7 linked regions of the Macaca fascicularis genome follow. The protein of the gene in region 1 purifies or fractionates together with the protein of each later gene. This does not show direct contact. Links are inferred from orthologs where the notes say so. Each region holds a gene or a part of one and is shown in the gene's direction. Other genes may lie near its edges.

Region 1 (4,453 bases):
GGAGTTTGAGACCAGCCTGGCCAACATAGTGAAACGCTGTCTCTACTAAAAATACAAAATTTAGCTAGCAGTAGTGGCACCTGCCTGTAATCCAGCTACTCTGGAGGCTGAGGCAGGGGAATCGCTTGAGCCTGGGAGGTGGAGGTTGTGGTGAACTGAGATCGCACCATTGCACTCCAGTCTGGGCAACAGAGTGAGACCCTGTCTAAAAAAGAAAACAAAAGGAATTGTTTTAAAATTTTTACCGTTCTGAAAGCACATTGACATCCTTTGCATTTTTTTTTCTAATTATTTCACTTTGATTTGTAAATTCTCAACTAGATTGAGGGGCTGTATGGGTTACAATTCCTCTGCATCCTCCCCAATAAACTTGGTGGGAATTTCAGACTTTTTGTTTGTTTGTTTTTTCCGAGACGGAGTCTCGCTCTGTAACCCAGGCTGGAGTTCAGTGGCGCGATCTCGGCTCACTGCAACCTCCGCCTCCCGGGTTCAAGCGATTCTCCTGTCTCAGCCTCCCGAGTAGCTGGAACTACAGGTGCATGCCACCACGCCCAGCTAATTTTTGTACTTTTAGTAGAGACGCGGTTTCACCATGTTGGCCAGGCTGGCCTTGGACTCCTGGCCTTAAGCGATCCGCCCGCCTCAACCTCCCAAAGGGCTGCGATTCCAGGCGTGAGCTACCGCCCCCCCCCCCCAATGAGCTTGATTCTTTCTGCTCCCCTGTGAACCCTACTGGTTGTCTTTTTTCCTGCTTTATCCCTCGTCCTCGGTAGACAGTGGGCACTCAATAAAGAATGGTTAAATGAATGAATGCGGCCGGGCGCGGTGGCTCAAGCCTGTAATCCCAGCACTTTGGGAGGCCGAGACGGGCGGATCACGAGGTCAGGAGATCGAGACCATCCTGGCTAACACGGTGAAACCCCGTCTCTACTAAAAAATACAAAAAACTAGCCGGGCGAGGCGGCGGGCGCCTGTAGTCCCAGCTACTTGGGAGGCTGAGGCAGGAGAATGGCGTGAACCCGGGAGGCGGAGCTTGCAGTGAGCTGAGATCCGGCCACTGCACTCCAGCCTGGGCGACAGAGTGAGACTCCGTCTCAAAAAAAAAAAAAAAAAAAAAAAAAAAAGAATGAATGCATGAACAAATGACCGTCCTGGAGCTAGTACTGCATTGCACGTATACATTGATGACAACAGACATCGTACAATGCGCAATCTTGGCAAATTTATTAAAAGCTTCCAGACTTCGGTCTCTCGCAGGGCGACGCCGGGAGCCTATCACACACTGAGGTCTGTCGGGTGCCTCAGGAACAGCCTCGGAAACGTGGGAGGCGGGGCTTCCCCGACCACACCCCCTTGTATTCAAAGCCTTTCCGCCTGTGGGCCCGCCTCCTCGGCGCAGTGTGCCACTCTAATTGGCCATCTTACCAATCCATCTGAGCACCTCGGCGCCGATTGGATCAACTGCTGAAGTCGGGTTGCGCACTTTCCGGCGCTGGGAACGCGGAGCGGACGCACACTGGCCGCCATTGCGCTTCGGAGAAAGCGGCCCCCTGTGTGAGGGGTTGTGGGGTGCGTGGCAGGCGTTTAAGGCCGGGCTGCGGGAGGCGTGGTCGGGTCGGGCTGAGTGACCGAAGGGGTTAGGCCGGGCGGGGCTGGATGCACTCAGTGTGGCGGGATTGCAGGCCGGGGTCCCCGGACGCCTTTCTGCTGCGCTTCTTGTGGGCCCGGGCCTGTGGTTAGTGAATTTTTCTGTCCCGCCGCTGTCCAGATTCTCCGGGTATGGCCGGAGTATTTCCTTACCGAGGGCCGGGTAACCCGGTGCCCGGCCCTCTAGCCCCGCTACCGGACTACATGTCGGAGGAGAAGCTGCAGGAGAAAGGTGAGTCGAGTGTGGAGCGGCGCGCGAGCCGGAGGCGGGGCGGGTGTTCGCGCGCGCAGGTGGCTGGGGACCCTCCCCGTTTGGGCAGCTCCCGAGGTGACAACTCCCTTGTTAGCCCCATTTAACTTTTTATCAAGTCATTTTAAGCGCGTGTTATCTGCAAGCGCTGATCCAGTAGTGATGGAGACAAAATTCCTGTCCTTACGGGGTTTAAATTACAGCGGGAGAGAAAGACAGTAACAAAACCTTGAGGATCTGTAATAAAAATGTCAGGCCGGGCGCAGTGGCTCACACCTGTGATCCCAGCACTTTGGGAGACCCAGGCGGGCGGATCACCTGAGGTCAGGAGTTCGAGACCAGCCTGGCCAACATTGTGAAACCCCATCTCTACTAAATATACAAAAATTAGTCGTGTGTGGTGGCGCGTGTCTATAATCCCAGCTACTGGGGAGGCTGAGGCAGGAGAATGGCTTGAACCCGGGAGGCGGAGGTTGTAGTGAGCCGAGATCGCTCCATTGCCCTCCAACCTGGGTAACAGAGCAAAACAACGTCTCAAAAAAAAAAAAAAAAGTCAGATAGTAATAAATGTGATGAAGGGAAAAACATAGTAAAGTGGTAAGGGAATTGGCAAGGAGTGTTGCTTCCTGCTGGATGCCTGCTCCTCTGTCACACTCACTGACAGGAGCTTACCCTAGGGCAAGAGGTGAAGAGGATTAGGCTGAGGGTGTGCAGTCCTTTAAACTGAGGTGCCTTTGTAGCCCGAAAATGGCAGCAATTGCAGGCGAAGCGCTATGCAGAAAAGCGGAAGTTTGGGTTTGTGGATGCCCAGAAGGAAGACATGCCCCCGGAACATGTCAGGAAGATCATTCGAGACCATGGAGACATGACCAACAGAAAGTTCCGCCATGACAAAAGGGTTTACTTGGGGTAAGGAACATCCTGAAATAACTTCATTTGGAATTTGGTTCTTTTCCCTTTTCCCTGTCCCACAGTCTTGGATAGATGCTCTGTCATTTTGGAACAGGACGCTGCTTTGACAGCTCATCTTGGTGGATATAAGAGAAAGGAGAAAACCAGTAGGAGTCTCTGATAATTTCTACATCTTCCACTTACGCAGTCTGTTTCCCTTCTGTTCCTGATCTGGGCCTGGGACTTTAATTTGTCCTGTTGATGCTGTTATAAGATATCCCTGTCGTTGAGCTGTTTGAAGCCCAGAGTGGGAGACTGTGCATAGTGGCAGCCTGTCACTCCTCAGGGACCTGAATTCTGTGTTTAGGGTATTTAATTTCAGAGGTATCCCTACTGCTGTTTTTCTGTGGCTGTAAACTGGGTGGGTACAGGTACAGATGTCTTAGCAGATTCCTGCTCTATTTGGACACAAAAACGTTTGCCGTGTAATGAACTGGAAGTTTTGTTTATTTCAAAAAATAGTTTGAGAACTGTGCTGGCTGCTTGGGGTATAGTAGCGAGCAGAGGGTAACAATCTCCGCCTTTCTGCAGTGTGCAGTCTAGTGGCATGACAGACATGAGACAACTGGTGATAGTGAAGTATGGTGAATACTTTATTATGATTTATGAGAAGATACTGAGGGAATAGGATGTGAGACAGCCGCAAAGCTGTCTCCAGAGGGATAGCTGTTGATTTAGAGGAGCTGATACCAGCATTGTGGGACTATGACATTTAAGAAGAGTGCTGAGGCTGGGCGCGGTGGCTCAAGCCTGTAATCCCAGCACTTTGGGAGGCCGAGACGGGCGGATCACGAGGTCAGGAGATCAAGACCATCCTGGCTAACACGGTGAAACCCCGTCTCTACTAAAAAATACAAAAAAAAAAAACTAGCCGGGCGAGGTGGCAGGCGCCTGTAGTCCCAGCTACTCGGGAGGCTGAGGCAGGAGAATGGTGTAAACTCGGGCGGCGGAGCTTGCAGTGAGCTGAGATCCGGCCACTGCACTCCAGCTTGGGCGACAGAGCGAGACTCCGTCTCAAAAAAAAAAAAAAAAAAGAAGAGTGCTGCAAGATGAAGTTGGAGAGGGAGAGGCAGGGTTTCTGGTTAGGAAGGGCCTATGGGCTAAGTCTGGGAGTTTGGATTGTAAGGTAGGATTTACTGTGGAACATGAATGTGTGGCTTCTCTGCATGGGACAGGTAGCAGAACACCTCGTCATTTCTAATAGCCTTCTCTTTTTCTAATGTGCCAGTGCCCTAAAGTACATGCCCCACGCAGTCCTCAAACTCCTGGAGAACATGCCTATGCCTTGGGAGCAGATTCGGGATGTGCCTGTGCTGTACCACATCACTGGAGCCATTTCCTTCGTCAATGAGATTCCCTGGGTTATTGAACCTGTCTACATCTCCCAATGGGGGTGAGAAAGGCTGAAATATGGTGGGCAATGGTGGTGGTGGTTGGGGGCAGTGGGTAGAAATGGTTGTGTGATGTTCTTGCCTTCTAGGTCAATGTGGATTATGATGCGCCGAGAAAAAAGAGATAGGAGGCATTTCAAGAGGATGCGTTTTCCCCCTTTTGATGATGAGGAGCCGCCCTTGGACTATGCTGACAACATCCTAGATGTTGAGC
Region 2 (4,252 bases), on another chromosome or scaffold:
AAATTTTGAAAAGTGAGATCAAATATCTAAATAATATGGTTAATAAAGAGTTATGGCAAAAATACTGATGTTGGTTATAACTGCAGTTCTAGAAATCTGCATCAATCTTTTTTTGAAAGCAATAGCTGCATTGGTAGACGTGATATTACTACATACACAATATATATTTTCCCCAAAAACCAAAAGAGCCTTGCAACTATGAAAATTATTCTAACAAATGTGCTGCCAAGTCGTGTCATTGTACATTTGTCCAAACTCATAGAATGTACAGCACCAAGAGTGAACCCCAACATGAACTACGAACTTTGAGTGATAATGATGTGTCAATGTAGGTTCATGATTGTAACAAATGTACCGCTCTGGTGGAGGATATTTTTGAGAGTTGGAGGCTGTTAAAGTGGGGAAGAGGTATAATAATTGATGGCAGGAAGCTGTTGAGGGGGGAAATCTCTGTGCCTTCCACTTAATTTTGTTGTGAACCTAAAACTTCTCTAAAAATTTGTCTATTAAAAAAATTCTTTTAACTTTTGCTTAATTTTTCCGTTTTTGAGGGCAGGTTAAGTATTATAATAGCTACATTTACTGAGCATTTGTCTTTAATCCTAGTGAAACAGATGGTATTACCCTTGTTTTATAGTTGAGGACACTGAGGCTAAGAAAATTTGAGTAATTAAGGCACACACAGAATTTAAACATATTTCTTATCACAAGACTGAGTTGTTTTCTAGTTACTCTATTTTTTACTTTCATTTTGTCCTAATATCTGGCTTCTAAGTACCTTCTGTTATTTTTAATTCCAAGCCTTAGAGTTAATTATTTGGGCACAACTGTCCAGAAACCAGAAACGAGGGGGCGTGGACCCAGAGACTACAAGACCTAGAATGCAATGCAGAGCCAGACAGCCTAAAAGGGCGGCAGCTCGCCCCTTCGCATACTGGGAATGGTAGTTTCCTCGCTCTCCCTTCGTTCCCCCGCCCCTCGAGCATCCAGATTGGAGCTTCGACCCTACTCCCTTGCAGGGCGCCACGGCTAGACAGAGCCTCTCTTCCTTGCCTGGTCATCCCAGTTCTGGAGGCTGACCTGGGGATACGCCCTTGACGCCCTGAATCGCAGTCCTCGCGTCGCTGCTAGTCAGGCCGGCGCTACCCACCTCACGCGCAGCTCCAGGACGCCGCACTCCGCGCGCTGCTGTAAGGAGGACGCGCAGCCTGGTCCCCATGGAAACGGTGCCACGTCCGTCACGGCGCATGCGAGAGGTCAAAGGTCAGCCTGGCGAGTTCCGCTTCCGATTCCGGGATCCTGTTTGTTGTCGGAAATCTTTGTGGTTTCGGTGAGCTCTCAGACCGCGGATTTCTAGCTTTCGTGCGGGGGACAGGTGCCCCGAGGTCCGCTGCTGCAGACATGGCGGCCTCCACCGCGGCCGGGAAACAGCGGATTCCCAAAGTGGCCAAGGTAGGCGATCGCGAGGGGCCTTGTGGGAGGTGGCCCAGGAGAGGGGCATCCCTCAGCCCTGGGGGTGCCCCGGGCGGGAGACAGTGTTCCCGCCGGGGAGAGGGCCCACCCTGAGAGATGGAGAGGAAGGGTCAGCTGGTGGTGGGGCGCGGGCTCTTGTCATCGCGGAGCACGATGGGGTGGTTTTGCAGGGAGGAGGAGTGGAGTGGTTCAGTGAAGATTTACTGACCCAGGCACTGCACTGGGCGCTGGGAAGCTACGCTCGGACGCTGGCCAGAAGCAGTACTCAAAACACGAGTGTGTGTATGAGGACGATCTTGCCAGATGTTACTGAGAGGCAAAGTAGAATATGCCATGGGCGTGAATAAGGGGGTCGTATGAAGGGTTCCTGAGAGTAAATTTTGCTGAGGAAATGACCTTTAAGCTGAGACTTGAAGACTGAATAGGAGTTAGCCCAGCTGACAGCGGAGGGTGAGAATAGACGGCAGTAGTAGTATAGTATCATAAGTTAATTAAACAGTAGATTTACTAACTGGTATTTCCCTCGATAGCTGATACTTACGAAGTGCTTAATATGTGTCAGAATTTGTCTGAAGCCTTTACAGATATCCTCCCTCCAGTCTTTCTTGAGCCCAGATGACTCTCTTGAACTGGACCTTTACGTAACTATTTGTCTGACTCGCAAAAGTAATGCATGTAGAGCAAGTAACAGTGTGTCTGGCACTTAGTGCTTATTAAATATGAGCTATCACCATTATCATTACTCCACACGTGGCATTAAATAACAATTTTTATAATTCAGCTACGTACACTTTTATTGGGCATCACCGGTCCAATGGAAATACAGTGCACAGCACATGAAATTTTAAATTTTCTCCTATCTACATTAAAAAGTAAAAGCAAAGCAAAAAAAGTGACATTAATTTTGATAATATATATTTTATTTGAACTAATGTATCCAAAATATTATAATTTCAACATGTAATCGGTATAAAAACTGTGAGATAGTTTGTTCTTTTTTTCATACTTCATCTTCAAAACCAGTGTGTATTTTACATTTACAGTCCACCTCAATTTGTGCTCACCACATGTGACTCATAGCTACTGTGTTGGACAGCACAGCTCTAAGCTACGTTAGACTGTAAACTTCTAAGACCTCAAGAAACTTACAGTCTAATGATGGGAACTTATTGAATAGTGCCTTTGACTTGAGGTTCCGTGAAAAACCATACCCACTTTTCCACCAGGGGCATTAAATAAGTTGAAGAATTCTGCGAATGCAGGTGGTAATGCTATTAATAAGATGTGCTACACATCTTGATAAACCCTCTGGTCAGAATTTTACCTACACAGCCTCAAAGTTTATTATTATACTCATCTAAAAGGGAAAACTTGGTATTATTTTTGCCACCTTTTTCTCTTGAGACTTTTACCTGTGGCTTTGTAGTAGATACCATGAATAAGAGAGAAAACATAGTATTTTTTTTTCTTTTTAGTCTCATGGAGGATGGGAACATGTCATACAAAGAGAGCATCTTGTGATAATACTAATGAAGTTCATATCCTAAAAAATGTATGTTTGTTTCTTAAACCTTGTGTGAAGAGCATCTACTAAAAATAGAAATGTCTTGTTCTTAAAAGGTGAAAAACAAAGCCCCGGCTGAGGTACAGATAACTGCTGAACAACTCTTAAGAGAGGCTAAAGAAAGAGAACTTGAGCTTCTTCCACCTCCACCTCAACAGAAGATCACAGATGAAGAAGAATTAAATGATTATAAACTAAGGAAAAGGAAGGTCAGTCAGTGTGGTATCTTTCAGTCCACTAATTGTTAAGAGTGTATCAGTCAGAGTTTGAAAAGCTGGTTGGATTCTGTAGGGCAAGATGAGGTTAGTGTTCCTAGACACATGAATAATGCCTTCTGGTTACCAGATAACAGCATTTTTCTGAACTATATAAAATATGCCTTGAGTTGTCTGGTTAAAGTATAAAACAATTGAATCTGCATAATTTTTGGTACTGAATCAAAAATGGGTGGAAGTTTAGCAGGTGAAACAACGGACAACTGGAAGGGGGTATGCTTAGTAAGGCTGGACTGTGTACTTCTGTCTATACCACCTTCTGTGTTAAGAAATGAGATCTGGCCGGGCACTGTGGCTCATGCCTGTAATCCCAGCACTTTGGGAGGCCAAGGTGGGCTGATCACCTGAGGTCAGGAGTTTGAGACCAGCCTGACCAAAATGGTGAAACCTCATCTTTACTAAAAATACAAAAATTAGCCGGGCGTGGTGGCAAGTGCCTGTAATCCTAGCTATTCAGGAGGCTGACATGAGAATCGTAGGAACTCAGGACGCAGAGTCTGCAGTGAGCCGAGATCATGCCACTGCACTCCGACCTGGGCGACAGAGCGAGACTTTGTCTCAAAGAAAAAAGAGAAGAAAGGAAAAGGAATTGAGATCTGCAAAAGGACTATGAGAAGACTTTGGGATCTGATTTGACCTCTTCACTCTAGAATGTGGGACTGTTTTAAAGCATGAATTCTGTTATATATGAAATTCTGAACGTTACCAGAGGACTTACGGGTAATAGTCAAAATATTTTTTATTAGGGACAAGCATAGACTATTTCAAAGTATCAGTTAGTTGATTGTAACCTTCTGTAGTGGATTTCTTATTCCTCAAGGATTCCAGGATGTAATTTCTCTTAAATATGAACAAAATGAATAACCAGTTTAGTACAAGACTTAAAATAGACCAAGGGTGCTGTCATTTTTAGTCATTTGCCCTTTGACTTGACCCTTTT
Region 3 (3,208 bases), on another chromosome or scaffold:
CCTGGGCACCTGGGCTGCTGGCCCTGTGTCCCATCCACCTCTTGGTTTATTTGCTGGATTTATACTGGTCCATCTGTCTGTTTCCTTCTTTCTTTCTACTTCTGCAGCACATACAAGGTGTACTGAACTTGGAAGGGTTATCTGAAGTTACAGTGCGTAGCAGCAGTTGGGAAGGAGAGTAGGGTGGGGAAATAAGCCTGTAGACAGAGGATGCAGTGGTGGGGAAGGTAACCTGTTGGTTGGTCATTTGCTGTGGCCTGGTCTGCTGGTCTCAGGGAGGAAGCCCAGTGCCTGCCCTGTGGGAGGAGGTTACGTCCCTGGTCTGTGGGATCTGACTTGGTTCTGAATCTTGCCTCTTCCAGGGCCTGGCCTATGTGGAGTATGAAAATGAATCCCAGGCGTCGCAGGCTGTGATGAAGATGGACGGCATGACTATCAAAGAGAACGTCATCAAAGTGGCAATCAGCAACCCTCCTCAGAGGAAGGTTCCAGAGAAGCCGGAGACCAGGAAGGCACCAGGTGGCCCCATGCTTTTGCCGCAGACATACGGAGCGTAAGTGCTTGCATGGTAGACTAGTGCAAACTTCGTCCTGGCTGGCACCAGTTCATGGACCATGGGGGGATTAACCCGGCATGAATTAGCTTCCTGTTAGGACAGAAAAGCCAAGACGTGCTGTTCCTTGTGGTAATCACTGTGGTTCCACTGGAGCAAGGCGTCCAGAGCAGGATGCAAGCCTAGGCAGTGACCTCTGCCTGGTACTGGCCAATTTACACTTGTCATTTATTTCAGACAAAACTAAAGGCAGTGATTATTTTCAAGTCCCCTTTGCCAGTTGGAGCTATGTTTAAAACGAAATCTTATACCCACGTGTGTGCCAGTCTACAGCCCTAGCTATATGATCCACATAAGCTGTGCTTTTTGCCTGCTAGGGATGAGGAGGAGATAGCAGAATTGCCGGGTGACTGGCGAGGTCTGAGAGGTGATAGTCACACTGATCCCCTCTGAGTGCGACTGGTGCTCAGGGTTGATCTTTGCCAAAACTGAACAAGGCCAAGTCTGTCGAAGCAGTTTTTACTTAACAGCCAGAATTAAGGAGGCAGGGATTATCTCATCCTTTTTCTTTTCCCCCTTTTAGCTTCTGGTTATATTTAAAACTATCTTGGCTTATTTTTACAAATAAATGAGGGGCCACAAATTGTTGCTTCAAAAGGTCCATTCAGTGTTTGCTTTTCTAGGAGGGGGAAGGGAAGGACGCAGCTGTCTCTACTGCCTCGTGCCCTGCAGCGCCCAAGTGCTGCAGCTCCTCAGGCCGAGAATGGCCCTGCCGCGGCTCCTGCAGTTGCCGCCTCAGCGGCCACCGAGGCACCCAAGATGTCCAATGCTGATTTTGCCAAGCTGTTTCTGAGAAAGTGAACGGGACTCTGGGAGACAGGAAATGCCTTACTTCACTCTGGCCCGGCGGACCTCCCACCACCCCGCGGTGCACTGGGGATGGACAGGCCTGGTGTGCTGCCCGCTCGCAACCACAGATGGCTCCTCTGCTTTAGACAGAAAGGGGGAAGGGGTTCTAAGTCAAGAGCCTTTCAGTGCTCCCTCATATTGAGGGCAGTGGCAGAAAAGTGACCACTCTGCAGGCTCCCTGGGCCCAGGATGTGGTGTCCCAAGATACGTTTGTATCTTAAAGACTGAGGCACAGAAGCGAAACAAGAACACGGTTTTTGAGATGCAGTTGTCCAAATGTTTCTGGCCAGCTCCGGCCCCTTTTTGTATGACACTTCTCTTCTACACTGCACAGCACATGTGCCCGTCATTCTTTTAATTTTAAAAGATGAAATGGCAGATGCTAGTAATTCACCAGAATGGCCTATTACGGGGGTGGGTCTGAGGGAAGTCATCTATAAAACATTTACTGGATTTTTGTTCAAGGGGGCTGTGCATTTTTATATTATGTATTTGTAAATGACATGTCAGCCATTATTTCATGTTTCCTAAAAGCAGAATATTTGCAACATTTGTTTTGTATAGGAATTATTTGTGCCACCTGCTGTGGACTGTTTTCTTTGCCTAGTGACTAGTGACCTGTGTTGTCTAAACATGAGTTCAGCCCTTTGGTTTTGTTTAATACCATGTCAAATGCAAACTTCAATTCTCCCCATTTAGCTTTATTAAACTGAAGTTCTCTTCAAAACTTCTTGCTGAATGGTACTCAGATGTGCATTCACATACAGATGTGTTTTGAAGTGGGTGTACCTTGCTTTACCTAATAGATGTGTAAATAGAGCTTCTGTAAGTCAAATCCCATTGTCACTTTGATTTAAATTATTTCAGCTGTGATGTGTCTTCAGTTTTTATACAATTCAGTTTATAGCAGTTTGACACTGGAGCTTTTGAGCTTTTTTACCTCACATCTTTATCAAATATTTATTGCTTTGAAAACAGCATTGCCAGTTCAGTAGGGGAAGCTTACTTTATTAAGACACTCTGGAGAAAGATGTCAGGGAATCCTTGTGTATGTCATAGGAATCAACTCCTCATTTATCTGTTGTGTAAGTAAGTTTTTGTGCATCAGTCGGGCTTTTCTATATTTTTTTAACTTAACATTTTTTAATATAACCGATTAAAAAGTAGACAGAACAGTAAAATAAACTCCTGTGTGCCTACCATTCAGCTTCCAGCATTCCTCAACTCCCAGCCCCTTTTCCTTTATGTCTGTCTCCCTTCCACCTTCTGTTATATTGAGGCATGTTCCAGATGTCATTGTGCTCGTCCAGTAATGTTGTGGCAGGTGTCTCAGGACTGAAAGGCCTTCACTCCTAGAAACATTAGTGGTAATCCCTTAATGTCAACTGTCCACTCAAATTTCCACCTTCCTATAAATATCAGCTCTCCTCCCTGTAAATTATTGGTTCGTAAGCCTCTTACATCTTTTAAAATGTAAGTTCCCCTCCGTCTCTTTTTTACACAAAACAAACTTTTTACTAGACTTCTGAATTAAATTCAAGCGCTGGCTGTTGACAGCAGCAAGAACCTTTGCTGTCCCACGTGTTCTTCCTGCAGTGTTCTCTGTGATGCTGTTTGGAAGGCTGTTCAGCTGGTGAGATGATTTGGGTAGCTCAGAGGGAGCCCTCATGGTTGGGGACCTGACACGTGAAGAGCCGTGAACATCACTATGGGTGAGTGTGGCCTTACTTTTCGCTGCTTCACATT
Region 4 (3,780 bases), on another chromosome or scaffold:
GAGACAGTCTCACTGTGTTGCCCGGGATGGACTGCAGTGGCGTGATCTCAGCTTACTACAGCCTTCGTCGCCTCCCTGGTTCAAGCGATTCTCTTGTCTTAGCCTCCTGAGTAGCTGGACCATGCCCAGCTAATTTTTTGTGTATTTTTAGTAGAGACGATGTTTTGCTATGTTGGTCGGCTGGTCTCGAACTCCTGGTTGCAAGTGATCCGCCTGCCTCCGCCTCCCAAAATGCTGGGATTACAGCTGTGAGCCACTGCGCCCAGCACCCTTTTTTTTTTTTTTGAGATGGAGTCTCGCTCTGTTGCCCAGGCTGGAGTGACACGATCTCCACTCACTGCAAGCTCCGCCCCCCGGGTTCATGCCATTCTCCTGCCTCAGCCTCCCGAGTAGCTGGGACTACAGGCGCCTGCCGCCACGCCCGGCTAATTTTTTTGTATTTTTATTAGAGATGGGGTTTCACAGTATTCGCTAGGATGGTCTCCATCTCCTGATCTCGTGATCCGCCCGCCTTGGCCTCCCAAAGTGCTGAGATTACAAGCATGAGACACCGCGCCCGGCCAGCCTTTTTTGTCTTGTTTACTGCCAAATCCCCAACAACTATAGTATTTCCAGGCACATAGTAGATGCTTAAGAGTTACCTATTTACGGCCGGGTGCAGTGGCTCAAGCCTGTAATCCCAGCACTTTGGGAGGCCGAGATGGGCGGATCATGAGGTCAGGAGATCGAGACCATCCTGGCGAACACGGTGAAACCCCGTCTTTACTAAAAGGTACAAAAAAACTAGCTGGGCGAGGTGGCAGGCGCCTGTAGTCCCAGCTACTCAGGAGGCTGAGGCAGGAGAATGGCGTAAACCTGGGAGGCGGAGCTTGCAGTGAGCTGAGATCTGGCCACTGCACTCCAGCCTACGCGACAGAGCGAGACTCCGTCTAAAAAAAAAAAAAAGAGTTACCTATTTACAAAAGCACAAACATCGGCAAAAAAAAAAAAGAATTACTTTTGAATGAATGAGAGTTAGCTGGTGCAGGAAAAAAAAAAAAAAAAAAAGCCAGTGCAAATTGAGAGACCTGGCCATAGAAAATTACAACGCTCAGGGATGTGGTATGGCAAGGAACTTTTTTGTTTTTTTTTTGAGGCAGAGTCTCGCTTTATTGCCCCAGCTGGAGTGCAGTGGCACGATCTTGGCTCACTGCAACCTCCGCCTCCCAGGTTCAAGTGATTCCCCTGCCTCAGCCTCCTGAGTAGCTGGGACTGCAGGCGCACACCTCCACACTCTGGTAATTTTGTATTTTTAGTAGAGATGGGGTTTTGCCATGTTGACCAGGCTGATCTCGAACTCCTGACCTCAGGTGATCCGTCTGCCTTAGCCTCCCAAATTGCTGGGATTACAGGTGTGATCCACCGAGCCCAGCCTGGCAAGCAACTTTGAGGAGTGGGTGGGGAGAACACCGAGATGGAGTTGTTTTCAGATATTTCCATTCGTCCCAGATAGCGATTCCCTTAAATTGTGGCTCAAGCTTCTGCTTTCTAAAACATCCCTTAGGCCAGGCATGGTGGCTGACGCCTGTAATGGCAGCACTTTGGGAGGCTGAGGCAGGTAGATCACCTGAGGTCAGGAGTTCGAGACCAGCCTGGCCAACATAGTGAAACCCCGTCTCTACTAAAAGTACAAAAGACTAGCTGGGCGTGGTGGTGTGTGTCTGTAGTCCCAGCTACTTGGGAGGCTGAAGCAGGAGAATCGCTTGAACCCGGGAGGCGGAGGTTGCAGTGAGCCAAGATGGCACCACTGCACTCCAGTTTGAGCACCAAGAGTGACACTCTGTCTCAAAAAAAAAATCTGATACTTTATTTCTCTAGCTTCTGGCAACACCCACACCGTCTTCCTGAAAAGGTAGCACTCGGGGTTCGGGGAAGGAGCCTGGTAGTTCGAGTGCCTGGGGTGAGAGGTGAAGTCTGCCTTGGCCCTTTGCCACTTTGACACCTCCCTTTTTCTGTGTCTCGAGTTCTGTTTTGCTTCCATTGGCAAAACAGTAATAAATAAATATCAGTGTCCAGCACTGTGTCTGGGCCATAGTATGTGCTCAGTAAATTTTATGCCTAGTGTTCCATTATTGGAATGCTAAGCTTGTGGGAGTTATTTACATCCTGCTCAGGGTCATCGCCAGGGTCTGATTTTTCGCACGTCTGCAGTTCAAACAATTGCAACCTCTGGGTTAATGTTACTCCTTTTCTCATACTCTCCCAGAATGTGACAGGGCTTCTGAGGGGAGCCCTATGCCATGGAAGAACCAGCAGAGTGTCCTTAAGGCCCCGGCAGGAGTCAGGGTCGTTATGTGCTGGGGCCGCCATATTTGGTGAAAAGGACTTATTCCCAGGCCTCACTCAGCAGGATCACTATGGAATTGGTTTCTCAGGAGATTCCTGGCTCTTTTCTTTGGAGATTGTTATTCCTTAGTCGCCAGGTAGGACAGTTTGCCTCACAGCGAGGCTGGAGTGAGGATCTAATCTGATGCTCGTCACTTCCTGGGTTCCTTTTAGAGACACAGGGCACAGACGGGAAAGCAGAGCTTACTTAGCTTTTGCTCTTCTGGCTCTCATTCGCAGCCCTGGGGTGGCTTGGTCTCAGGTTTTCCTGTGGGCTGTAGTTGCAGTCTGTGTCCAGTGGGTGGCAGTGTGGCCCTGCCTACAGGAAGGACCTTTCCCTCCCTTTCAGGATAGGATCCCTCCTTCAGGTACCCCCAGTTCAAACACCCTGACCCACTCCACTTACTCTTTTGATGGGTCCTGGGGGCATCAGCTGCATTTCCAGGGAGGCCCAGTTGGGCTGTTACTGTTTGGATCACCTTGCATCTGGGAGCGATGGGGCCCTTAGGGTTTATGTAGGTCTGAAATGGCAGTTGGGCCTGCCACATCCTGTCAGCTTGAAGTCAGCCTTACCTCCTCCCCTCAGCAGCCTGGATTATCTCTCAGCCACTCTGATAAAGCCCACTGTGCCTCAGAGAAACAGGTTCAGAGAGGGGCGTGCCTGAGGTTGCCAGGTCACCACCCATGTTCCTCCAGCTAGGGGCCTCTCTCAGTGCCACTGTTTTCTTCTTGGCCTCTGCCCATCGTATTTGTTTTCCTACCTGAGACCATGGACACCTTCAACTTACAAAATTCCCTTCTTCCTGCACAGGGGACCCTCACAATGATCCCAATGCTCAGGGTGATGCCTTCAAGACTCTCTTCGTGGCGAGAGTGGTAAGTCCCCAGTTCCTAGCTCCTGGAACCCCACGCTGCTGAGAGCCTGGGTCTGGCCCAAAGGGCAGATAGGCTAGGTACTGGGGAATGTTCCAGGAGCTGTGGGACAGCTCTGTTCTCCCATTTAACGTCATACTCATCTCCTTGTAGAACTATGACACAACAGAATCCAAGCTCCGGAGAGAGTTTGAGGTGTACGGACCCATCAAAAGAGTAAGTGGAGTGGGATCAGGGTGTTTGAATTGGGGGTGCATGGAGGAGGGGCCGTATCCTAAAAGGGAGGGAGAGAGGTCCCAGCCCTGAGCATGGCTCACAGCATTTCAGGGCCTGGGTTTGTGCATCCTGACTGTATTTCCATGCAGCAGACCTTGGGTAGCAGAAGTAAAATGAGAAGTAATGACTGCTGGTGGTTGATTGAGAGCAGGGGTTGGCAAACCGCAGACTCACTGCTTGTAATAAAGTCTTCCTGCTGCGCAGCCAGGCAGGTCTGTCTGTTTACACATTGTCTTTGGCTGCTACTGGTTGTAAGGCAGGGTTGGG
Region 5 (3,169 bases), on another chromosome or scaffold:
ACAAAATATCCACTTTAAAAGGGAATTGTCATGAAAGAAGTGCAATTGTCAGAATAATCTTTTGGTACAGTAGAAAGTTGGGAAACTTCTAGGCTCTTTTCCGGCCTTGCAAACTTTGAGCCTTAAGCATTTTACTTCTCTGAAACTCAATTTGCTCTTGATCAGAAGAGCAGAGTAACTGTGGTTCTCTGACGGCCGTGAGAGTTCCGTGAGAATGTGACTACAAGTGTGATTGGTAAACTGGAGAGCTGTGTCCCAGGACACATGATTTTCTTATGTCCTGCTGGGCTGCCAGCCTCACCACTCACATCTGAGTAGTAAGGTGCTACCATCTTCTAAGTGGTATGGTTTCTTTCTCTCCATAGTGCTAAAATTAAAAATATAATTTCCACGGAGGATGCCAAGGCCCGTCTGCTGGCAGAGCAGCAGAACAAGAAGAAAGACAGCGAGACCTCCTTCGTGCCTACCAACATGGCCGTGAATTACGTGCAGCACAACAGATGTAAGCCCCTCAGGGAGAGCGGTCTTGTCCCCTTTCCCTTATTTGGGCTGAGGTCCCTAGGAACCTCATGTTCCGTCTAATGTGTCCCCTGGTCTCTTTGGGTCCAGTTTATCATGAAGAGCTCAACGCACCCATCCGGAGAAACAAAGAAGAGCCCAAGGCCCGGCCCTTGAGAGTAGGCGACACGGAGAAGCCAGAGCCTGAGCGTGAGTGCAACAAAGGCCCCGGGGCTGCCTGGAGTGCTCAGCTCTGTGGGGGCCCATGGAGGCAGGGTGCAGCGGGGGACAGTGTGGAGGTTGGCACTGAAGCTGGGGCATCTGGGTTCCAGTCCATGCTCTGGACCATGACTATGTGCCTTCCCCTTTCTAAGCCTCAGTTTCCTCATGGGAATCCTAATAGAACCTACCTGTGTTAGGATTGCTCTGAGAATTCAGTATCAAGCATACAATCTCATATTCTCAAGCACAGTAGAGACTCAAGAAGTCAGAAAATTTCAGTAAGGACAAATAAAAGCTACTCATAAGGTTAGCTGAGTGCAGTGCCTCACACTTGTAGTCTCAGCTGCTGGGGAAGCTGGGGCAGGAGGATCGCTTGAGACTGAGAGTTCAAGGCTGCAGTGAGCTATGATTGGACGACTACACTCTAGCCTGTGTGACAGAGTGAGACCACATCTTTTTTTTTTAAAGAAAAGAAAAAGGTATTGGCCAGGCTCGGTGGCCTACGCCTATAATCCCAGCACTTTGGGAGCTAAGGCAGGCAGATCACCTAAGGTCAGGAGTTCAAGACCAGCCTGGCTAACATGGTGAAACCCCGTCTCTACTAAAAATACAAAAATTAGCCAGGCATCGTGGCAGGTGCCTGTAATCCCAGCTACTCAGGAGGCTGAGGCAAGAGAATCGCTTGAACCCGGGAGTTGGAGGTTGCAGTGAGCTTAGATCATGCCATTACACTCTAGCCTGGGCAACAGGGTGAGACTCCATCTCAAAATAAGAAGAAAAAGACAAATAAGTGTCTACGGAGGCCCTACTATGTTCACTGGGTTAGGCGCTGGGGCTCCTGTGGGGAAGGAAACAGGCAGTTGTCTTTGCCTACCTGGAGTAAAGTCTAGCAGTGGGTTCCAGCATGGCAAGCCACCTTTCCTGTTCTTTTCCTTCTCAGGGTCCCCTCCTAACCGCAAGCGTCCTGCTAACGAGAAGGCAACTGATGACTATCATTATGAGAAGTTCAAGAAAATGAATAGGCGGTACTGAGCTGTGCAGAGTGGGATGTAAATAGCGCCTTCCTCTCCCTATATCCCTCCCGTGAAACATGGCTTCCTGGCCGGGCATGGTGGCTCAGGCCTGTAATCCCAGCACTTTGGGAGGCAGAGGTGGGCGGATCACCTGAGGTCGGGAGTTTGAGACCAGCCTGACAAACATGGAGAAACCCTGTCTCTACTAAAAACACAAAAAAGTTAGCCGGGCATGGTGGCACATGCCTGTAATCCCAGCTACTCGGGAAGCTGAGGCAGAAAAATCACTTGAACCCGAGAGGCAGAGGTTGCGGTGAGCCGAGATTGCACCATTGCACTCTAGCCTGGGCAACAAGAGCAAAACTGTCTCAAAAAAAAAGAAAAGAAAAAGGGCTTCCTGGACAGAGCATGCTCATTTGCTAGCGAACAGTTCCAGAAACAGACCCTATTGGTCCTTCTGCTTACCTGCTGGATTTTTCAGGCACTAAATTTATAACTTTTTGAAACAAAACAATGTGTAATTTTCCATTTGGGGGCAAACTCTATTCTTGTGAGCATTATTAAATCTTGTTTGTAAATATATTGTCTTTTAATATTTGCTCTGGGTCAGGAAGAAACTGTTCACGGTGTGATAATACCCTTTAGATTGTGCTTTCATTATTATAGATGCATCGTGTCTTCTGCTTTCACGTATCTGGGATGGGGTCAGACATGCATCCTCCATTGATTAGAGTGGGTCCAACTGACAGAAAAATCTAGGATGAGATCAGAAGGATACTGGTGTTTTCTGACTTTTACAAAATTACTTGTTTGTTTTCATTTAAAAAAAAGCATAAACTATGTTTCTTATTACTATTAGAATTGAATTATTAAATTTCAAAATGAATCTAACCATATTGTTTGTATTATGTTTCCTTATACCAACATCAGGTAATGTTTTCAAAGCCCATGGTTTGGGTAGCTAAATGTAAAATTGAATTACTGAGATGGATTTTCTCATTTATTTCAAATGTCATAGACGTGCTGCAACCTGCTAACTGTCAAGTACCTTCTTACCTGTGCCCTCATTTTTCCTGAGGCATCCACATGGTCCGGAAGAGGAAAGAGCAGATTGGCTGACTTACGGGCGGAGTTAGAGCAAGTATTGTGGTTATGGTGGTTTGGCCCAGGAGTCACATCTGAGCCCAGCTCACAGCTTACTAATTGTGTCCTTGGACAGATCCTTTTCACTCTTAGCCTCAGTTTTCTCATCTGTAAAGTGGAGACTTTTTTGTCCTCCTCCACTTGAATGTGGTCAGTGAAGGCAGGAACCATGTATGCCTAATTTTTAAATTTGAAACCCCAGGGCATAGCCCACAATCTGACACATAGGCAGCCCTCAAAACTGTGAATGATCCCTATAGTGTCTGGCTTGTAACAAATGCACAAAAGTATTA
Region 6 (3,780 bases), on another chromosome or scaffold:
CTTCATTTTTTTGTGATGTTAATAATCATCTTGGTTTTTATGTTTTTCTCTTTCTTTTTAAGCCTCTTGTCTGAAGTCATGATCTCTCCTGCCTTTCTTGTTCTGGCTTTGGTTCTGGATTATGGTCACTCACCCTTATGATTGCCAAATCCACTGGAATCTTCCATTCCTGATCCTTCGTGGATGTACTTTCCTTGTAACTTTCTCCTTCCTTGGTTTGCATGACATCACTTTGTTACCTTTCTGACCACTCCTTTAGTTTGATGAGTGAGTTCTCTACTTGCCCTTTTTTTTTTTTTTTTTTTTGGAGACAGAGTTTCGCTGTTGTTATCCAGGCTGGAGTGCAGTGACGCAATCTCAGCTCACTGCAACCTCCGCCTCCTGGGTTCAAGTGATTCTCCTGCCTCAGCCTCCCGAGTAGCTGGGATTATAGGCACCCACCACCACACACGGCTAATTTTTTTGTATTTTTAGTAGAGATGGTTTCACCATGTTGGCCAGACTGGTCTTGAACTCCTGACCTCAGGTGATCCGCCTGCCTCTGCCTCCCAAAGTGCTGGGATTACAGGTGTGAGCCACAACGCCCAGCCTACTTGCCCTCTTCTTAAGTGTTGTGTTCTTTAAGATTCTATCCTCAGCCTTATTCTTGCCCAACACAGTCTCTTTAGGCAATATCTGCCATGACCCTCAATGACTCTCATTATCTATTCCTCCAGTGTGGAACTCTTCTAAGCTCCAGGCCCAGCTATGTCACTGGCCATTGAACTTGCAGATGGGGAGCATGAAACAAATTGGTCATTGCCCCTGTTCCTCTCTCTTCGGGGGACATCTGCATATGAACTGGGCAGAGGCATTCAGTATCTGCCCTACCTACAGTTTCATCCCCTGTCTACCCCCTACAACAGACAGATGCTTCACCTCCCTGCCCTTTTGCAGTTCCCTTCATGCCCCTGCAAACACACACGCATACACAGAGGAGGCACACACCCACTTGACCAACTTTTTCCATCTTTAACGCCAGCACTACAGCTCTTCATTTTTATTGGCAAGAACACCAAAAGCTTTCTCTCCCCACATCGTCTCCCCAGTAGGCTAAAGTGAAGGGATGGGATGTTGAACCAACTGTGGGATTCCAGAAGAAGCAAAGTATCACTCATTATTGTGTTTCATTTTTACATATTAGTAACTATTTTAATAGACCATCTTTTTCAAAACATGTTAATACCTGACATGCTTATAGAATGACCACTTGAAGCAAGTAGTACACATTCAGACTGTTTCTTCTGCATTGTTACTTTCAGATTTAAAACACCAATGGGATTGTAATATGATTTTCGTTACTTTCAGATTTAAAAGTACACATGTGGGATTGTAATGTGAATTTACAGACAGAGATAATGTACCTTGTCCAAACAGGAAAAAAAAAGCACAACTGAATTTTCTGTCTTCTTTTATCACTATAGATAATTAGGACCATGAGTCTGAGTTCACATTCCTAAAAGTATCCACGTTCCAGAGGAGCCTCTACTCCTCAGCCACATCTCATACACAGATCAGAATGTCCTAGGAGGAGACAGCAAGATCTCACACTGGTTGCATTTCTCTTAGCTACACTTTCCGGCACAAGCATTTATTGAGTCAGGGCAATTGCCATATGCCAGGCAGTATATTAAACAATGGTGATACAAAATGATAAAATGCCATCCTCTCCCCACAGTTCACGGTAAAAATAAAGATGCGGGCAGCTGTCTCTTGGAATCTTGCTTCTTGAAGTGTGCTGTACAGACCGTCAACATCAGCATCACCTGGGAGCTTACTGGAAATGCAGAATCTTGGTCCAAGATGGATCAGCATTTTTATCCAGGATTTTGCATTTCTAACAAGCTCTGATGCCGGTGCTGTCAGTCCATGGACTGCGCTGACTAGCATGGTGTTACAGTACTTTCCTCAAGCTGGTTCTTTTGCTGTCCCACCATCAAAGGAGTGGAAGATTGAGGTTGTGTTTTCTGTGCCTTCAGGTACACAGCCTAATGTAGATATGATAGATGTGCCTTTTTATAATATAACCTGCTGCAGGCTGCAGTTTAATCCATCTGTCAGCATTCAAAGCATCTGGGATAGAATGTGTAAAGACTAACAGATGATAATAAGATAGCCAAGAAGTTAGGCTGGGCGCGGTGGCTCACGCCTGTAATCCCAGCACTTTGAGAGGCCAAGGCGGGCAGGTCACGAGGTCAGGAGTTCAAGATCAGCCTGGCCAACATAGTGAAACCCCGTCTCTACTAAAAATACAAAAATTAGCCAGGCATGGTGGTGCACACCTGTAGTCGAGATTGAGGCAGGAGAATCACTTGAGCCCGGGAAGCGGAGGTTGTGGTGAGCTGAGATCGTACCACTGCACTCCAGCCTGGGCAATAGAGCAAGACTCCATCAAAAAAAAAAAAAAATGGTGAGCTAACTTGAGGTAGTTGGAAAAAGAGACACTTACTAGATACTTCGCATGCACATGTATTAGCAGTTTGTCATTTAGTAATTAGGAGGGGCTGAGGACTTCTTTAAGCAGAGTTAGAAAGGTTATTATAGCAGCCCAGATTGAAGTTAATGAGGCCTAAACTAAGGTAGGAGAAGCTGTATTTAGGATTGTTTTCAACGTTGTTTTCAATGTTGTTCTATTTAGGACAACAGCTATTTCACTGGCCATTGAACATGCACATGGGGAGCATGAAAGAAAATGTTGAAAACCAAAACAAATCAACATTAGGAATGTTGAAAATCAAATTAGTAGTTGTGGCAGAAGTGCAAGAGAATCTAGGTTGATGCTCAGGTTATTGGCTCTGGGAACTGTGTGGATAGGCTCACCTAGAGATTCCAGGAAGAAGAGCGATTTGAGATCTATGTTTCACCTTGGATAGATGGAGAGGGATGTCGGTATGACCTGTCTGGTAGGTATTGAGGTGCACAGTCCTGGAGCTCCAGAGGGGAATCTGGCTGGAGTTGCATAGACACTAGTGAAGCCTCCAGTCACTCAGAGAGAATGTTCCAGGTGAGAAGAGCCAAGCACCGAACATGGGGCCCTTTGAATGAAAGAACCCTCTCCAGAAGCTTTTGAAGGGACATCCAGAGAGGTAGTCAGCTTGAGATCCTAGAGAGTGCTTCAGGATTGAATTTTATTTTGTTTTTCAAAAGCTTAAAGGTGATACTCTTAACAAATTTCACAAGGTTTTTCATTGTCATTGTCTTTGATGATGGTGAGGTAGCTCTTTGTTTTTGTTATTGTTTGTTGGTTTCTAGCTTACCAGTTTCTCCTGTGCATTTTTAAGGTTCTTAAAATTCTAGTCAGGGCAGTGATTAATGGGATGACTGATCGAAGTGGAGATGTCACAACTGGCCTCAAAGGAAAGCTGCAGGAGTTATTTGGCAGAGTGACTTCAAGAGTGACAAATGATGGAGAAATCTGGAGGCTGTATGCTCAAGTATATGGAAATGGGCAGAGTGAAAAGCCTGATGAAAATGAAAAGGCAAGTCCTTCATTCCTCCTGAGTCCTCACCTTTCATTTGAACATGTCTGTAGTAGATCTACTTTTTTGATGGGTGGAGGAAGAGTTTAAGAATCTGAAAGATAAGATTAGTATGCCTGAGTTCAGTTCTGATTCAGAGTCTTTAACCTACATACTTTGAATTGTGGGCTGTAACATTCATCTTTTTATTTTCCACGAAGTTTTCTTACATGGTTCTCTGTTGCCTCCTAAAGGGCCTCCTGAAATGGCCACCCCTACTAAA
Region 7 (4,314 bases), about 64 Mb from region 1:
TCTTCCCCCATAGGATTGTTCTACAGCAAGTCGTTTCAACAGGGGACCTCACACAAAAGCAGAACTCTTGTTAGGTACCTTTGAGCTCAGGGATAAAGTTTCATTCTTCATTGAATGTCTTTAGTGAAGAAGGAGACTTTCACCCAAACCACACGCAATGACTGAGCAGGAAATCAAGCAGAAGGGGCAGAGGAAGGAGCTCAATGACCCGATCCCAAATCCCTCTGTCCAGCCCAGGGCTGGAACAGAGGTCCCTAGGTACCTGGGCAATGTCTTTAGTTCTACCACTGTACTTCTGTAGCTTCTGCGTATCTGAGGCTGACTGATTTCTACAGAGATATTCTTTTCTTTTTTTTAGACAGGGTCTTGCTCTGTTACCCAGGCTGGAGTGCAGTGGCATGATCTCGGCTCATTGCAACCTCTGCCTCCGGAGTTCAAGCAATTTTCGTGCCTCAGCCTCCCGAGGAGCTGGGACTATAGGCGTGCACCACCACGCCCGCCTAATTTTTGTATTTTTAGGAGAGACGGGGTTTCATCATGTTGGCCAGGCTGGTCTCGAACTCCCGACCTCAAGTGATCCGCGCGCCTCGGCCTCCCAAAGTGCTGGGATTACAGGCGTGAGCCATCTGCAGAGAGATTCTCTACGTGGGTTCTAGTCGTGGCTCTGGCATTTACTTGTTGTGGGACCTCTCTGAACTGCAAACTCCTAGTGAGTTGAGTTAGATTTTGTGGCGGGGTCATCACCAACAGCCCTAGCGCAAGGAAGCAGGAGGTCCCCAACCAATCCCACAGCCACCCTACCCCAACGTGGGGAATCTGAACGCCAAGAAGGGGCTGGGCTGGCCAGTAACCGAACTCAAGTGTCCAGTTCTCAGCCCTCCCCAGGCATTTACTAACCCTTCTGTCCCCTTACTCAGCCTCCTGGACCTTCACCCCAGCAGCCCCGTCCTTGGTCCCCTTGTTTTCTTTGGAGATCCCCTGATAAGTCAACATGAGAGCAGCCCCGCGCAGACCACTCCCGCAGCTGTGGTTGCCCAGCAACTGCGCTAACAGCCTGGCCACGTGATCTGCCGGAAGGCCCCCCCCATTTCAGGGTAGTCCCGAGGCGCCTGATCAGATTCGTTCATCCTCAGGTCTCACCCTCTTTGGAGCAGCCCACGTCTTGGGCTACTCGTCTTGGGGACCGGCTACTCCGCCTTGCCAGTTCCTGTCTCCGCGAGGGCATACCTCGGAACTGGTCCTCAGGCGGAGGGTTGTCCTCCCGGGCAGAAAGGCGACAGCGGTGTCTGCGGGGTCCTTCCTGGCGGCGGGCGCAGACGTTTCTTTGGCGTGGGGCGGAAGCGCGTTCTCCGGCGGCGGCCTCAGAACTCTTAGCTGAGCAGGCGGGAGGTAAGTTGAAGCGGGTTAGCGGCAAGGAATGCTTGCTCCAGGTGGGATAGGAAATTAAAGAGCGTCAGATCTGGAAGAGGCCTTATATGCTATCTGCCCCTTTTGCTTTACGGATGGGTAAATTGAGGCCTGGAGCGGAAAAAATAATGGAAGGTCCTCTCCTCCGCGTGCCTCCCCAAAGCTTTCGAAGCGCGCACGCACGCACACACCTCGATTTCGGGGCTGCCTCTATAGCCTCAGTCCGTAAAATCGTATCCCTAGAAAGGAGTGTTGCTCTAACTGTCCAGTCCCGTCGCTCATTCCCTTTTCCATCTGTGCCGCCTTCAGCCGTTCTCTGCCAAGTTCCCTCCGACGTTCCCTTTGAGCGCCTGCATTGTAGCGGGAAGCAGCAGTGAGGTTTGTAACCATGAGTCGCTAGTTTTGTGTAACTGTGGGCAAATCAGCTATATTCTCTGTACCATGTTAGAGTCACTCATTAGTTCGATAAATACGTATTGAGGGCTTAGTCTACGCTAGGCACTGTTCTAAGTAAACAAAACAAGCCCTTGCTTAAACTGTAGTTGGGGAAATGAACGGTAAACAACTAGATAGAAGTCAGCTAGTGATAAATGTATAACATTTGTGAATAACAATAAAACAGTGAAAGTGGGAAGTTGGAGAGTATGTATGGGGGACTTTTTAGAGTGACAGAGAAGGTGACATTTTAGTGGAGACTTGATTGAAATAAAGGGACAAGGTGAAAATATCAAAGGGAAGAGCGTTTTGGACAAAGAGAATGGCAAGTGCAGTGGCCCTGAGGCAGAACTGAACTTGGCTTGTTCCATGAACAGCTTTATATAAAATTTTTTTCAATCGGCCGGGCGCGGTGGCTCACGCCTGTAATCCTAGCACTTTGGGAGGCAGACTCGGGCGGATCACCCGAGGTCAGGAGTTCGAGACCAGCCTGGCCAAAATGGTGAAACCCCCCCCTCTACTAAAAATACAAAAAAATTAGCCGGGCGTAATGGTGCACGCCTGTAGTCCCAGCTACTCGGGAGTCTGAGGCAGGAGAATCTCTTGAACCCAGGAGGCGGAGGTTGCAGTGAACCAAGATCGTCCCGTTGTACTCCAGCCTGGGCAACAAGAGCAAAACTCTGTCTCAAAAAATATATATAAAATAAATAGATAAATAATTTCTTCAAGCACTTGACTGGGGTCTTGGGAGAATGAGATAAGCATAAATGCGATAATAGCTTTTTGGAAGTAAAAAGAATCTGTATGCATGTGAAAGTTTCCATAATAATTTACATTTAGTTATTGGTCCTTGGAGCTCCGATTCTCTCTCTACATTCAGCACCCAGCAGATGGCATTGAGGGAGGTGGAGGTATCAGTCTAATCCAAGAAATATCAGCATCTTAAAATTAAACATCCCATTCAGTTAACATTTATCCAGTTTCTACTTATGCAAGGTGCTGTCTTGGCTGTTGACTGTGTTAGCATTGGTACTTTTTTCTCAACTATTTAAAAATGTAAAATGCAGCTGGGTGCGGTGGCTCACAGCTGTAATCTCAGCACTTTGGGAGGCCGAGGCGGGCGAATCACCTGAGGTCAGGAATTCGAAACTAGCCTGGCCAATGTGGTGAAACCCCATCTCTACTAAAAATACAAAAATTAGCCAACTGAGGTGGTGGGTGCCTGTAATCCCAGCTACTTGGGAGGTTGAGGCAGGAGAACCGCTTGAACCTGTGAGGTGGAGGTTGCAGTGAGTCAAGATGGTGCCACTGCACTCCAGCCTGGGCAACAGAATGGGACTCTGTCTCAAAAAAATAAAAAAGTAAAATGCATTCTTAGCTGGAGGACCATGCAAAAACAGGTGGAGGGGCCAGATTTGGCCACAGGTCAGAGTTTGTGAATTCTTGCCCTAAAGTATTAGGAGCTGAAGAGGCATTGTGTCAGCAGCTTACTGTCAAATATTTGGGGAAAAGAAAGTTATTTGTACTGTTCTTGCCACTTTTTGGTATTATTTTAAAATTAAATTTAGTATCATAAAAGAAGTGAAGGGAAGAAGCAGATGCATGGAACACAGGGTTCTCATGATCAAGGATGGCAAAAAATAATGCTAGCTGTTTATTGAGCCTGGGACTCTGGTAAATTCTTTACACAGGGTGTTTTTTGTAATCCTCATAAACATTTATTCAGTGAGGATTATTCATTCCATTTTCCAGTTGAGGAATAAAAGTCAGGTTTGGAGAGATGAAGCAACTTACCTGAAGTTACATAGTTGTTAGTGGCAAAGTTAGAATTTGAATCTAAGTCTTCCAACTCCAGAGCCCTGATGCTCTAGTCTGTTATTTATTGCTTATAAACTATAGTTGGTGATGGTAATTAGTACAGTTAACTACTATTTGTTTGTTTGTTTATTTATTTATTTATTTATTTTGAGACAGAGTTTTGCTCCGTCGCCCAGGCTAAAGCGCAGTGGTGCAATCTCAGCTCACTGCAACCTCTGCCTCCTGGATTCAGGTGATTCTCCTGCCTCAGCCTCCTGAGTAGCTGGGACTACAGGTGCGTGCCACCACACCTGGCTAATTTTTTGTATTTTTAGTAGAGATGGGGTTTCACTGTGTTAGCCAGGATGGTGTCGATCTCCTGACCTCGTGATCTGCCCACCTTGCCCTCCCAAAGTGCTGGAATTACAGGTGTGAGCCACTGCACCCAGCCAGTTAACTACTATTTAAGACAAAATTAAACACTGATAAAGGTGCAAAAAGCTCTAGTAGGATAGGGGAATGAGAAATTGAGGAGCTAGGAAAGCTTGAAGGAGGTGGTGGCATTTGAACTGTTTCTTTGAATAGAATTTCAATAATTGAAGTGGAAAAAACCCACAAAACACTACTTACTTACAAAGGGAAAATGAGTAACTTTACAATAGAGAGGCCTGGCAA

The links.
Region 2: the proteins of PRPF8 (region 1) and CRNKL1 fractionate together in Homo sapiens (co-fractionation; 3 studies listed by BioGRID, with this or other methods). This does not show direct contact. The link is inferred for Macaca fascicularis from reciprocal best matches to the Homo sapiens genes PRPF8 and CRNKL1.
Region 3: the proteins of PRPF8 (region 1) and SART3 purify together in Homo sapiens (affinity purification with mass spectrometry; 4 studies listed by BioGRID, with this or other methods). This does not show direct contact. The link is inferred for Macaca fascicularis from reciprocal best matches to the Homo sapiens genes PRPF8 and SART3.
Region 4: the proteins of PRPF8 (region 1) and SNRNP70 fractionate together in Homo sapiens (co-fractionation; 3 studies listed by BioGRID, with this or other methods). This does not show direct contact. The link is inferred for Macaca fascicularis from reciprocal best matches to the Homo sapiens genes PRPF8 and SNRNP70.
Region 5: the proteins of PRPF8 (region 1) and C15H9orf78 purify together in Homo sapiens (affinity purification with mass spectrometry; 4 studies listed by BioGRID and IntAct, with this or other methods). This does not show direct contact. The link is inferred for Macaca fascicularis from reciprocal best matches to the Homo sapiens genes PRPF8 and C9orf78.
Region 6: the proteins of PRPF8 (region 1) and TTC27 purify together in Homo sapiens (affinity purification with mass spectrometry; 3 studies listed by BioGRID and IntAct, with this or other methods). This does not show direct contact. The link is inferred for Macaca fascicularis from reciprocal best matches to the Homo sapiens genes PRPF8 and TTC27.
Region 7: the proteins of PRPF8 (region 1) and EFTUD2 purify together in Homo sapiens (affinity purification with mass spectrometry; 9 studies listed by BioGRID and IntAct, with this or other methods). This does not show direct contact. The link is inferred for Macaca fascicularis from reciprocal best matches to the Homo sapiens genes PRPF8 and EFTUD2.

The regions. Positions count from the first base shown.
Region 1 is NC_088390.1:1,806,986-1,811,438, reverse strand, and holds the start of PRPF8 (pre-mRNA-processing-splicing factor 8), read left to right. Parts: upstream 1-1,488; 5' UTR 1,489-1,569; intron 1,570-1,768; 5' UTR 1,769-1,779; coding exon 1,780-1,879; intron 1,880-2,637; coding exon 2,638-2,806; intron 2,807-4,076; coding exon 4,077-4,241; intron 4,242-4,328; coding exon 4,329-4,453. UniProt on the Homo sapiens protein: Plays a role in pre-mRNA splicing as core component of precatalytic, catalytic and postcatalytic spliceosomal complexes, both of the predominant U2-type spliceosome and the minor U12-type spliceosome.
Region 2 is NC_088384.1:67,252,899-67,257,150, forward strand, and holds the start of CRNKL1 (crooked neck-like protein 1), read left to right. Parts: upstream 1-1,287; 5' UTR 1,288-1,401; coding exon 1,402-1,452; intron 1,453-3,093; coding exon 3,094-3,246; intron 3,247-4,252. UniProt on the Homo sapiens protein: Involved in pre-mRNA splicing process. As a component of the minor spliceosome, involved in the splicing of U12-type introns in pre-mRNAs.
Region 3 is NC_088385.1:115,358,361-115,361,568, reverse strand, and holds the end of SART3 (squamous cell carcinoma antigen recognized by T-cells 3), read left to right. Parts: intron 1-362; coding exon 363-553; intron 554-1,236; coding exon 1,237-1,414; 3' UTR 1,415-2,664; downstream 2,665-3,208. UniProt on the Homo sapiens protein: U6 snRNP-binding protein that functions as a recycling factor of the splicing machinery. Promotes the initial reassembly of U4 and U6 snRNPs following their ejection from the spliceosome during its maturation.
Region 4 is NC_088393.1:57,072,706-57,076,485, forward strand, and holds part of SNRNP70 (U1 small nuclear ribonucleoprotein 70 kDa), read left to right. Parts: intron 1-3,175; coding exon 3,176-3,240; intron 3,241-3,390; coding exon 3,391-3,453; intron 3,454-3,780. UniProt on the Homo sapiens protein: Component of the spliceosomal U1 snRNP, which is essential for recognition of the pre-mRNA 5' splice-site and the subsequent assembly of the spliceosome. SNRNP70 binds to the loop I region of U1-snRNA.
Region 5 is NC_088389.1:14,078,678-14,081,846, forward strand, and holds the end of C15H9orf78 (splicing factor C9orf78 homolog), read left to right. Parts: intron 1-365; coding exon 366-502; intron 503-609; coding exon 610-708; intron 709-1,660; coding exon 1,661-1,752; 3' UTR 1,753-2,624; downstream 2,625-3,169. UniProt on the Homo sapiens protein: Plays a role in pre-mRNA splicing by promoting usage of the upstream 3'-splice site at alternative NAGNAG splice sites; these are sites featuring alternative acceptor motifs separated by only a few nucleotides. May also modulate exon inclusion events.
Region 6 is NC_088387.1:89,391,343-89,395,122, reverse strand, and holds part of TTC27 (tetratricopeptide repeat protein 27), read left to right. Parts: intron 1-3,320; coding exon 3,321-3,518; intron 3,519-3,780.
Region 7 is NC_088390.1:65,951,742-65,956,055, reverse strand, and holds the start of EFTUD2 (116 kDa U5 small nuclear ribonucleoprotein component), read left to right. Parts: upstream 1-1,312; 5' UTR 1,313-1,389; intron 1,390-1,716; 5' UTR 1,717-1,785; intron 1,786-3,812; exon of another isoform or gene 3,813-3,816; 5' UTR 3,817-3,934; intron 3,935-4,314. UniProt on the Homo sapiens protein: Required for pre-mRNA splicing as component of the spliceosome, including pre-catalytic, catalytic and post-catalytic spliceosomal complexes. Component of the U5 snRNP and the U4/U6-U5 tri-snRNP complex, a building block of the spliceosome.